Linked DNA regions of Danio rerio. The protein of the gene in region 3 purifies or fractionates together with the protein of the main gene of each other region. This does not show direct contact. Links are inferred from orthologs where the notes say so. Each region holds a gene or a part of one and is shown on either strand. Other genes may lie near its edges.

Evidence for each region.
Region 1: the proteins of fam98a (region 3) and atxn2l purify together in Homo sapiens (co-immunoprecipitation; 3 studies listed by BioGRID and IntAct, with this or other methods). This does not show direct contact. The link is inferred for Danio rerio from reciprocal best matches to the Homo sapiens genes FAM98A and ATXN2L.
Region 2: the proteins of fam98a (region 3) and atxn2 purify together in Homo sapiens (co-immunoprecipitation; 3 studies listed by BioGRID and IntAct, counting the BioPlex papers as one, with this or other methods). This does not show direct contact. The link is inferred for Danio rerio from reciprocal best matches to the Homo sapiens genes FAM98A and ATXN2.

The regions. Positions count from the first base shown.
Region 1 is NC_133178.1:14,057,270-14,060,929, reverse strand, and holds part of atxn2l (ataxin-2-like protein), read right to left. Parts: intron 2,266-3,660; coding exon 2,144-2,265; intron 2,054-2,143; coding exon 1,962-2,053; intron 1,554-1,961; coding exon 1,320-1,553; intron 1,219-1,319; coding exon 863-1,218; intron 774-862; coding exon 699-773; intron 1-698. UniProt on the Homo sapiens protein: Involved in the regulation of stress granule and P-body formation.
Region 2 is NC_133180.1:42,539,000-42,542,659, reverse strand, and holds part of atxn2 (ataxin-2), read left to right. Parts: intron 1-1,933; coding exon 1,934-2,307; intron 2,308-3,660. UniProt on the Homo sapiens protein: Involved in EGFR trafficking, acting as negative regulator of endocytic EGFR internalization at the plasma membrane.
Region 3 is NC_133192.1:24,534,749-24,538,362, reverse strand, and holds part of fam98a (protein FAM98A), read left to right. Parts: intron 1-1,990; coding exon 1,991-2,175; intron 2,176-2,623; coding exon 2,624-2,704; intron 2,705-2,813; coding exon 2,814-2,930; intron 2,931-3,053; coding exon 3,054-3,221; intron 3,222-3,614. UniProt on the Homo sapiens protein: Positively stimulates PRMT1-induced protein arginine methylation. Involved in skeletal homeostasis. Positively regulates lysosome peripheral distribution and ruffled border formation in osteoclasts.

The DNA.
Region 1 (3,660 bases), on a different chromosome or scaffold from region 3:
GAATCATATGGGAGTCGTTGGGATAATTAGGTAAAAATAAATGCATATTTTAAGATAATGAAAGTGTTTTTGACTTTGCATGCATGTCAGTTTGTTGTTGGAGACCCCTAAAACCAAAATATGACCCTTTATAATGCAAAATAGGGGCTCTTTAACATTCGTAATTACACAGCTGTCTGAAATACTTGATTCAATTTGGTGATAGCGATCTTTCAAATTATATTATTCCTGGTACTTTGATTCATCCTGACAGTCAGGGAATGAGTTCACTTGAATATTTATATCCTCATCCGTCAAGACGTTTTGACTCTGTGACTGAAAGATTTGTAGGTTAGTGTATATGCTCAATCAGCTCCATTCAGCTGGTTTTGTTTGTCAGCTTTGCTTTAAAGAATGAAACTATTATGGCCTAGAACAAATGTTTTGAGTCTAATTTTTACATTCTGTGGCAAGAATGCATATATAAAGTGGGATAAAGTACTTCCAGGCAGTTTTTTTAAAGCTCAGATAAGCCTGTCAGGTGTTATTCTGTGATGATAGCCTCCAAAATGTACTTTATTCCTTACTTATAAGCCAGATGGTAAAGTAGCAAAAATTACAAAGTCAGCTACCATTACGGAGGACAAATAAGCATGATTAAAAACCGTGATCACATTGCAAAAGACCTAGTGTGGGTACAGAAGATCTGTTTGGTTTACCTGTAGGGGAGGAGTGGGAGTTTGAGGTACGCATGTTTCTGTTAGTCTGTCCAGTCCTTTGAGACTTGGGTGAAACTGTAAAAGATCAACATGTTCATTAGTAACACACAAAATGGAATTCAGCATAATAATCTAAATAACATCAAATCGTAGACGCAATTTACCTCCATTGACAGGCCGGGCCACATCTGAGAGGGACTGAGGGTGTGAGAGTGAATGTGAGAGTGTGTGGGGGGAAGGAGGGCTGGAGTGACCCGGCTCTGAGGGCCGGGACTGTGTTGGCGTGCTGCTCTGTGATTGGTGTGTAGAGAATCCTCCTCTGACTGACAGAGAGCTGTTCCTATCAGTGGGAGGAAGGGCCTGGCTGTTAGCAGAGGGGAGGGGTCTAGGGGAGGAGCTTGATGGTCCGGGTCGATTTGTTCGATTAGGCAGGGTGGACACAGCCCCACCTCTTTCACCCCTGCCAGAAACTCCCATCTCTCGCTCCCTTGCTCTCTGGGGAGGAATGTATTTGCCCTCCCTAAAATAAAACAAAGATAAACAGACATCAACAACCAGAAGTAAAGAGAAAGACTATATCATATTGCAGCTAGAAATTAAATGAATAAATGAGTGTCAAACCTGCTCCCAGCACTGGAGAACCCAGGGCTATCTCTTCCCCTTTCTCTTTCTGCTGCTTCACGCTCCCGGTCTCGAACCACTGCACTGAATTTGTCTTCATCAGTTCTTCCCTCATCATTCTCCAGCGCCACTCTGTGGCGATACTGTGAACTAGCCTCGATCTCATTGGCCAATCGGGCGGCTCGAGCTTCTCGCTGCCTGAAGCCCTCAGAGCTTCCCCGCTCCAGAGGAACCCTATGAGAGAAAGACAATAGAATATGATGAAAAGTTCAGCGAGAGTTAAACAAAAATTAAAACTCAAAAAAAAAAAAAATGTTATGTTTGTTTGCATGTTTCAGCGGCATTTTGGCAGCCCTGGTTAGATTCATGGAAACAGTAGTAATATATATTCAATACAATGTTTACAATCATAAAAGTTTCTAAAGCATAATAAAAAATACAAATACCAATACTAATAAAGATCTATTAGAGTCTTGAGTCAAATAGATTCTTGGATTCAGTTCTTTATATTTAAGATGCCTAATGAACTATCTGAAAAGGTATTAAAATCTTTTTGATCAAATCTAAAAACCACCATGATCACGACAAGGTCAGGCACCCTGAAAAAAAAACATCTAAAAATGAACAAAATGATCAACATACGTGTACATGGAGAGACTGGAGTCATAGGTGGACTTCACCCCATAGGTCTCCTCATTAAAGCGGAACATCTCACTGGCATCCCAACCATTAGCCTGAGATGGAGAAAAAGAAATGCAAAAGGCATGTGAAACATCCATTGTGACCAATTACTGCTGTGTTTACAAAGAATGCGTGAAACTCACTGTGTCTGCATCTAAGTCAAAGTTCTCTCCATTGCTGTCGCCTCCATCCCACCTCTGGAGGACCTTCTCTCTGTGGTCACCGTTTAATCTTGATGAGCCAATTGCAGAGTCTGTGAAAGTGTCTGAAAACACACACAAAAATCATATAATAGGTAAATCATCATATTATAATGATCACCATAATAATAAATAATCTGTTACAAGAGTGAGACTTTTGAATTTGTTGAGTTAGGATTGCGTTGTGGTGTTAGGATTGTGTTTTATGTCTGTTCTAGGTTGGGGAATGCCTTTAGCGCACATGACGCTCGTCAGCTCCCTTATTTAAACACAGTAAGAGAGTTTGTCTGGGCTGCTGTTCATTCACTGTTTGGCCAGTTGGCCAGAGCTGTGCTCCAATCCGGGCTTTATGTTTGTTTTGCAGCCATTCACTTGCTTTTCACACTGATTAAACATACTGATAGGGATGTTTTGATTGTTATTTTCAATTATGTTAAAATAAATATGATTTTTAACTTTATTTCGCCGTGTCGTCTCCCTTAATGTCACATCTTTGAGCCAGGTGTAACAGTTGCCATATCAGACTCTCTGGCTATTTCATGGCAAAACCGGATCAAATATACAGCATTTTATAAATATTGCTTTTCCATAGTAGCAAAGAAAATCTAACAATTAAGACATCCATAATACATAATAGATAAAAAATATCTAAAACAGCTTTAAAAGGTTTACTTTTAATAAAAAATATGCCATTTATGTTTAAAAATATTTCCTTTAAAGTTTCTCCAGATAACTTCTGATAACAAAAATAGTGGCTGGGCATATTAAGAGTACATGTTTAACAGTTTGGTTTCTGTTGAATACAGACACTTTGGGGGAAACTTCTTCGAGTAAATATTCATGAGTAAGTCTTGAGTGTCTAATATGGAATGTCCGAATCATCTTGTGAATTTTCTCCATACTTTTGGCTGGACTTTAAAAAGTTTATTATATCTCATTCGACTTGTGATTTGTTAAGAATATAGCTTTTTATTAGTAGCTTTAAATCTGAAGGTGGGATTTGGCACTTCTTCATTCTTCCTGTTTTTAAGGCTGACATGTCCTGGGATCCAGAAGAAGACTAGATCATAAAAGTTTCTCTGTAGTTCATTTCTCTCTGTTACAATGCCACACAGAGTTTAACAAAGATTTTGAAACAAATTTCTAAACATAATAGTTTTAATAACTCATTTCTAATAACTGATTTAGTTTATCTTTGTCATGATGACAGTATTTAATATTTTACTAGATATTTTTCAAGACACTAGTTTTCAACTTAAAGTAACATTTAATAATTTAATTAGGTTAATTGGGCAAGGAAGTGTAATCAGGCAAATTATTGTATAATGATGGTTTGTTCTGTGGACAATCAAAACAAATATTGCATATGGGGGTTAATAATATTGTTCTTAAATAGTTTAAAAAATGTAACACTGCTTTTATTCAAGCCAAAATAAAACAAATAAGACTTTCTTTAAAGA
Region 2 (3,660 bases), on a different chromosome or scaffold from region 3:
GGAAAATTGTGTCATTATTTTCTCACCCTTCACTAACTTCAGACCTGTTTGTTTCTTTCTCTTTTAAACATGAAACTTTTTCTTCAAAATATCTTTAACTGTGTTTAACAGAAAGAATAAAAATCTAAACGAGTAAAAAGTAAATAGTAAAGTAAATAGTGAGTTATTTTTTCATTTTTGGGTAACTGCTTTTTTAACTATCCTTTTAAGCACAAGTCAAAAAATAAACATTTCCTTTCACTGCCAATTGTTTATCGATTCTGTTAAATAATTGCAAAAAGCTGACAGATGACATTAACTTATTACATTAGCAGTCCTTATTAACTTAAAACGTACGTTCTATCTTTCTTTATTACGTGGCTATGTTCTGCATGTGCTTTTCACAGTGACGCATGCACTCGCATTCAGTACAGAACAAGCGATTAAACTGATTAAGAAACCCTATGTTACGTTACTTGGGTGGTAGTTGATGATATTGTGGCTTATTTTCTTTATCACCAACAAGTGGATTTATTGCTGCCGTATCAGCAGCACAGCACATACATAATTATCCAGTTGTGAGAAAATGCAAAAGCATTGAAATGTATTTTTTCTCCCATTGGCCTGCCAGGCAGGTGGAAATGTATTTTGGTTGCCTGGCTAAAAAAAAAACAATAGACCGGGACATTGGACTAACAAATTTTGTGAGCTCTGTGTTGCTGAAAAATATAAAATTATTATTGATATATTATTTTACTACATTTGCCGGAGGGTATGTGTATATTGTAAAGCTTTCTTGTTATCAAGTTAATGTGATTAATTTAAAATTATAATATAGCAAAAACTTTAGTGCCCCCCACCACCCATAACACACATAAATTTACATGTACTGAAAAGATATACATACATATTTTTGCTGTATTTTTGGTCTTAAAAACAAGCACCATTTTGTTTTTCTATTATTATTAGGACTGTCTATTGATTTAAAGATTTAATCATAACTGCATTACAACATCAGGGACCTAAGTGTGTTTTTTGTATGTGTAATTTATAAAAATGCGCCGATATGAAAATGATTCGCAGAAGCGTAATGAAGTACATGGCCTAAGACCAAATACTAAACATGTTTCTTATAGTTTTTTCCTCATATACTTTGCTAAAGTTTCACTATGGCTTTAATTAAACAATAAAAATGACAGTCAATTTGGTCTTGGTTTTCAAAGAAAAGAATCAATTACAGAAGTACAAGTGAAAAATATTGTAGCAGACCATACATTTATAATACATACATTTAATATAGTAAATCTGTAAATTAACATTATATTTTTTTTATTTAATTGAATATTTTTATGCCCTTCTGTAGCTTATGGACATTTTATGACTTTTCTGAGGTAACAAGTAATTTGTTGTGACATTTGTACATGCTGTTTAGCTACTAACATGCAGCAATGTTGCGTTTTAATGCTTGAGGAGTTGTCTCTGCAAACCATCTACTGTAGTGTGGTCTGTGAGGGTGAGAAAAGTTGTCTGTTTCAGCTGTATAAATCACCATCGAGTGATATTTTAAGCTTTCGGTATCACATGAATGTGGTGAAAACTTAATTCACATTGATAGTAAAAGCAGATAACTTTTTCTTGTAGACAGGGCTATAAGACATCATGTTTGTAATCTTACCATTTGTACATTTTTCATTCTCTGTAATTTTCAACTGGTGTTGCATCTTTTACTGACTGCATGGGTTAAACAAAAAACACGTGCTGCATTAATAAAATTAGCCCTAATAGTTCTACATACATATAAATAAAGTGTACACACATAATGATATGTGACAAATACAAATGCCTTTTCTACAGGTGACTTTAGTTTATATTTATTTATTAACATTCATATTTATTGGATTTAATTTAGACAGTTTTATCATGCGTTATAAGCATTTGTACTTGTGTGTTTCAGTGTCACAGACCCCAATTCCTCAGCAGTTTCCCCATCCAAGCTCCACCCTGCACCCTCATCCACAGCACCCTCAGCCCTCTGCCACCCCGACAGGACAGCCCCAGCAGGGTACCCAGCACGGGGGCAGTCACCCGGCCCCCAGCCCCGTTCAGCATCAACAGCATCAGGCGGCCGCCGCTGCTGCAGCTCAGGCCATCCACCTGGGCAACCCACAGCAGCAGCAGATGTACTCTGCTCTGGCAGCCACCCCACCCTCCATGACCCCCGGCCCAAACCCACAGTCCCCTCAGGCCAGCTTCCCCTCGGCACAGCAGGCCGTCTATATCCACCCGCAGCATGGGTACAACCCTAACCATATGGCTCATGTGCAGCAGGTGAGTGCTAGTCAGTACTGAAGCCAAGGTTACGTCCAACTTTTACCACACTTTATGAGGATTTTCTAAAGCACATTATGGGTTGCACTTCTGATTTAGGAAACTTCTATTTAAAAAAAACAGAACCAATTCACTTCAGATTAAAAAGTTGCTCTACCAATAATGCATTGTGCCTAGAGAAATCTGAGTGAGAGGTGGGTTTGATTTTGTGCTTCATTTTTTATCTAAGTCAACATAACTCTTGGTATTTAAATGCAACATTATTATTGCTGACATATCTATGGTCAAAACTCTTGTGTTAGCTATGTTTGTTTCTCTGGATTCTTTTCTTTCTGTTTTCTACAGTACAGTAATACTCAGTGTGCCGTGTATCCGGAGAGTATTCATAGCGCTTGACTTTTTCTACATTTTTTTATGTTACAGCCTTCTTTCAAAATGGATTCAATTTATTTATTTCCTCCACATTCCTCACAAAATACCCCATAAGGACAATTATTTAATGTGGTTAAATTTTATTTAATATACAATCAAATATAATATTATGATAATGTAATGTAATAATAAATAATAATAATTTTATTACAAAATAAAATAATCATCATGGAGCAGTTTAGCAGTCAGATTTATAAACAAAATATGTGTTCTTTTCTAGTTGTAAATTCATTTTACAAAATTTACTTAGAAATTATTTTTATTTAATATGTCGAAAAGAAGATTAAGTGATATAAAAAACAGCAGTATAAATAAATATGTTGTCACAGTGGCGCAGTGGGTAGCATGATTGCATCACAGCAAGAGTGTCGCTGGTTTGAGCCCCGGCTGAGTCAGTTGGGATTTCTGTGTGGAGTTTAAATGTTCTCCTTATGTTCGTATGGGTTTCCTCTTGGTGCTTCGGTTTCCCTCACTGTCCAAAGACATGCGCTACAGGTGAATTAAATATAGATGTTTCCCAGTGATTGGTTGTGGTTGGAAGGGCATCTGCTGCGTATAAATATGCTGGATAAGTTGCCGGTTTATTCCGGTGTGAAGACCCCTGATTAATAAAGTGACTAGGGTGAAAAGAAAATTAGTGAGTGAATGAAGAAATAAATATTAAATGCAAGTAGAAAGGGTGCATTTAGGATTTGGGCCCTTTGGCTGGAATTGCTTAAGGCCCCACACTATATCAGCTCCTGATAGTACATTACAGTACAGCTACACATTTATTTCCATTTCCCCTGTCAGTAATATCAAAAATGAAAAACTGTACTATACAGTTTTTTGGAAGGTTATCTGGCACAACAAAAGAGTACCAAGGGTGGAGCTAGACTAGCTGCTAAATGCTATTCGTTTACAGACAATTGACATTTGTGT
Region 3 (3,614 bases):
AAGACAAACAGATCCCAGTTGGATCAAGTCATGAAGACGCTGTGCTTTGCTGGATATTATTGGAAGTATGTGGGAAAGTTAGTGTTATTTTCTCTACTTTCTGGGAACAAATGAAACGCTGAATGAATCATATCATATCGCTGGGATAATTTGCTAAAAATAAATGCATATTATAAGACCATGAAAGTGTGTATTGACCTTGCATTCATATCAGCATGTTGTTTGAGACACATAAAACCAAAATATGACCCTTTTTAATGTATAATAGGGGCTCTTTAAATTTATCCTGGATGCTAATTCACAACTATAAATAGTTCTAATGTTGAATTATTATGTTTAAGACACATGCTTGTCATTTGTCATAGACAAGATTATTAGACCATTTTTTTTTCACTGATAAAATGAGACATTTGTCATTATCAGATTTCCTCCTGCATTATATTCAACATTATATAGGATAGAGTAGTTATACTGACAGTTACAAGTCAAATACTTGTCGTAATCATAACTCTAAAATGCGATATGATTATTTATATAATGTTTAGCTTTCAGTTTCACTTTTACTGCTGAGTGCGATTCATGCCATGACTGCTGTGCCTTTGAGGGGGAAAAAATCACACATACAAATCATACTATCTGTGTAGCTCTGTGCAACAAACTGAATGTTATTTTAGAACTTTACTGTCTGTTATTTACAGCCTATGTAGGTTCTGTTCACTAAAGTAGACATGGGCATGTGTCAGCTCCCGTGTGATTTTTGCAGTCGCGAAAACATCATTACATGAAGACAGAAATTACATTTTAGGTGAATTATACCTTAGAAATACAGTATGTGACTCTTTCAACACCATTTCGAGGTACCTTATTTGCTTAGCAACATATGTAAAACAATGTGAAGGCTTGTGCGACTACGTTTTCGCTTCTCTCATGAACTTGAAAATGTAATTGGCTGAATTGTTGAAATGCTGGATTAAGATTTTGTAAGAGGTCGAATTGAGATTGTGACCTTTTTTCGATTAATCATGCTATGTTTAACTGAAAGTAATATTAAATAATACTACTTTGATAAATGTCAGCTATTTGTCAAGGCTGTGTTACTCATATGTAATTATTAATTATTTTTAGTTTATATTCAAAAATGACTAAAACACAAAGCAAATTAATAAAAACTTTATCAGAACAGTGTACATGAATTACTGCATGCATACAGGTCAAAGCCGACACAATAATCATAAAAACAAGTGACATCAGACATGTGGCTAGAAACACTTTTATAATTGACTATCATGTATTTTCTACACATTTTACAGAAAACACCTGCCAAAATGTCATTCAATAAAACCTTTGATTAAATCTTCGTAGACATATTTAGAACAATAATTATTTGATGACATTAAAAGGATTACAGTGCAGGCCATTATTTTGTCATTTTATTTTTTTAGATTTTAATTTTTTTAATTAGGAACTTTGCTTCTAATTACATATTAGAAAATGTTAATCCCATTTCATTATAAAAACAAATCACTTACAAAAGATTGTAGATTCAAAATAAATGGTTAATACACCCAGGGTCATACATTTTAATGAACAGAAAATATATTTAATATAAACTGAATTTTAATAAATCTTAAATTATATTTAGATACGACTGAATTTAATTTTAAGAACTCCCAGTCTAATAATTCACATTGGGTGTTGAGTGTTCATAAACTGCTTGACTGTCTTGCGTTGTTTTTGCTAAGAAAAATACTAGGCTCTAAATGGCATTTATAATTAAAACATTTCCTCTTGTTGAGAAAAAAGCTTCCTGTACATTTAAAATATATATTTTTTGCAAATGTAGTTTTTTCTGTCTGTCTGTCTGTCTGTCTTTCTATCCACAACTATTTTAGCTAAAATTAAAATGCGAAGTGATTAATTAAAAATAATACAAAATAAAATTAGCTCAAGATCTCCATAAATCTGATTGATATATATACCATCCTTCCAGGCTTCTTGATTTCTGAGCTGGAGTCATCCAGGATGATCGTGGTGAATCAGCCTCAGAAGAAGGTGCAGGAGACGGGAGGCAGTAAAGTGTTCATGGAGCTGAAGGGCATCTGTATGGCTCTGGGCATGTCCAAACCTCCATCCAACATCACCATGTTCCAGTTCTTCAGTGGTATTGAGAAAAAGGTGAGATTTATTCTCAGCTGATTTATATTACTATGCATGTCATGAGTCCGCACACGTAATTGTAAGAGTAAAGTACAATAATACAGTAAAACCTCTGAACTTGGGAGTTATTCTCATCAGAATGCTTTTTTTGGTGTATGGTAGTATTTATTAAGATTTAATAATGCCTTTTTGTTTTCCTTTTTCAGTTTCTGATTTAATTTTAGTATGTTCATGTTGGTAAATTCTGTTTTAGCTTTAGTAAATTAGTTCATATTTCCATTTCAGTTGTTAGTGACTTTCTTTATATCAATTTTTTTAAACTATTATTTTTAATACTTACGATGCTATTCAGGGCACATGCTTGTAACTGTGACAGAAAATTCTTATAAATAAACACTACAATGCACCAATCCAAGATAGCATAACAGTCTATTAATAATATATTACTGTATGTTTTCTCCAACAGCTGAAGGAAGCATTGGCCAAGGTCCCTCCATCTCATATAGGAGAACCTCTTATGAAGAAACCACTGGGCCCTGTACACTGGGTAAGCTGGGATTTAAATGTTATCTTATATAATCTCTAGAAAATGTTTGATTTCAATATTATTTTGACTATAGCATTACATACATTGATGGGACTTTTTGTATCTACAGGAGAAAATTGAAGCAATTAACCAAGCACTTGAGAATGAGTATGAAGTCAGAAGGAAAATGTTGTTGAAACGACTGGATGTGACTGTTCAGTCTTTTGGCTGGTCAGAAAGAGCCAAGGTATCAGGATCTCTCTTTTATAATATAAAACAAAGTGTCACATTTATATCAATTAAGCTAAAAGACCAAGTAAAAAATGTGCCTTAAATGAAAGGGACGAAGTTTTATTGTAATTATTTTCAGACGCATGCTGATAAACTTTCGAAAGTATACCAGCCTCTTCGTGTGGCACTGGCCACAAAAACCAGAGTGTCTGTGGCTCACCTGTTTGCTGCTAGAGAAGATTTATCAAAGATCCTGAGAACCAGCAGTGGCCACACCAGGGAGAAAACAGCCTGTGCCATCAACAAGGTGGGCTAGTTTAGAATGACCTTTGTTGTTTTATTTTCCGTCTGTCTGTCCGTCCGTTCATCTGTCTGGCTGTCTATCAAATAATGGTGTAATGGATCACAAATCTCAATGTTTGAATCACACTGTGGTTTTTGAGTCATGGATTTGGCAATTTTTCAGACAAATGTAATTTCTTTCTATTTATATAAAAATGTCACTGCAAAACAATTGGTTTAACAAACAGAACTTATAAGCTGTAATTTTAATAAAAATAAAAATCAAGAAATAACCAGCTGAAAAAAGGAAAAATATTCAATACGAAAAATGATCTTTGCTACTGTTGCTGATAATGCAAAATATAGAAATCTAACATCTTGTACAACAAATTATATTTATGTTAAATTAGTGATTTAC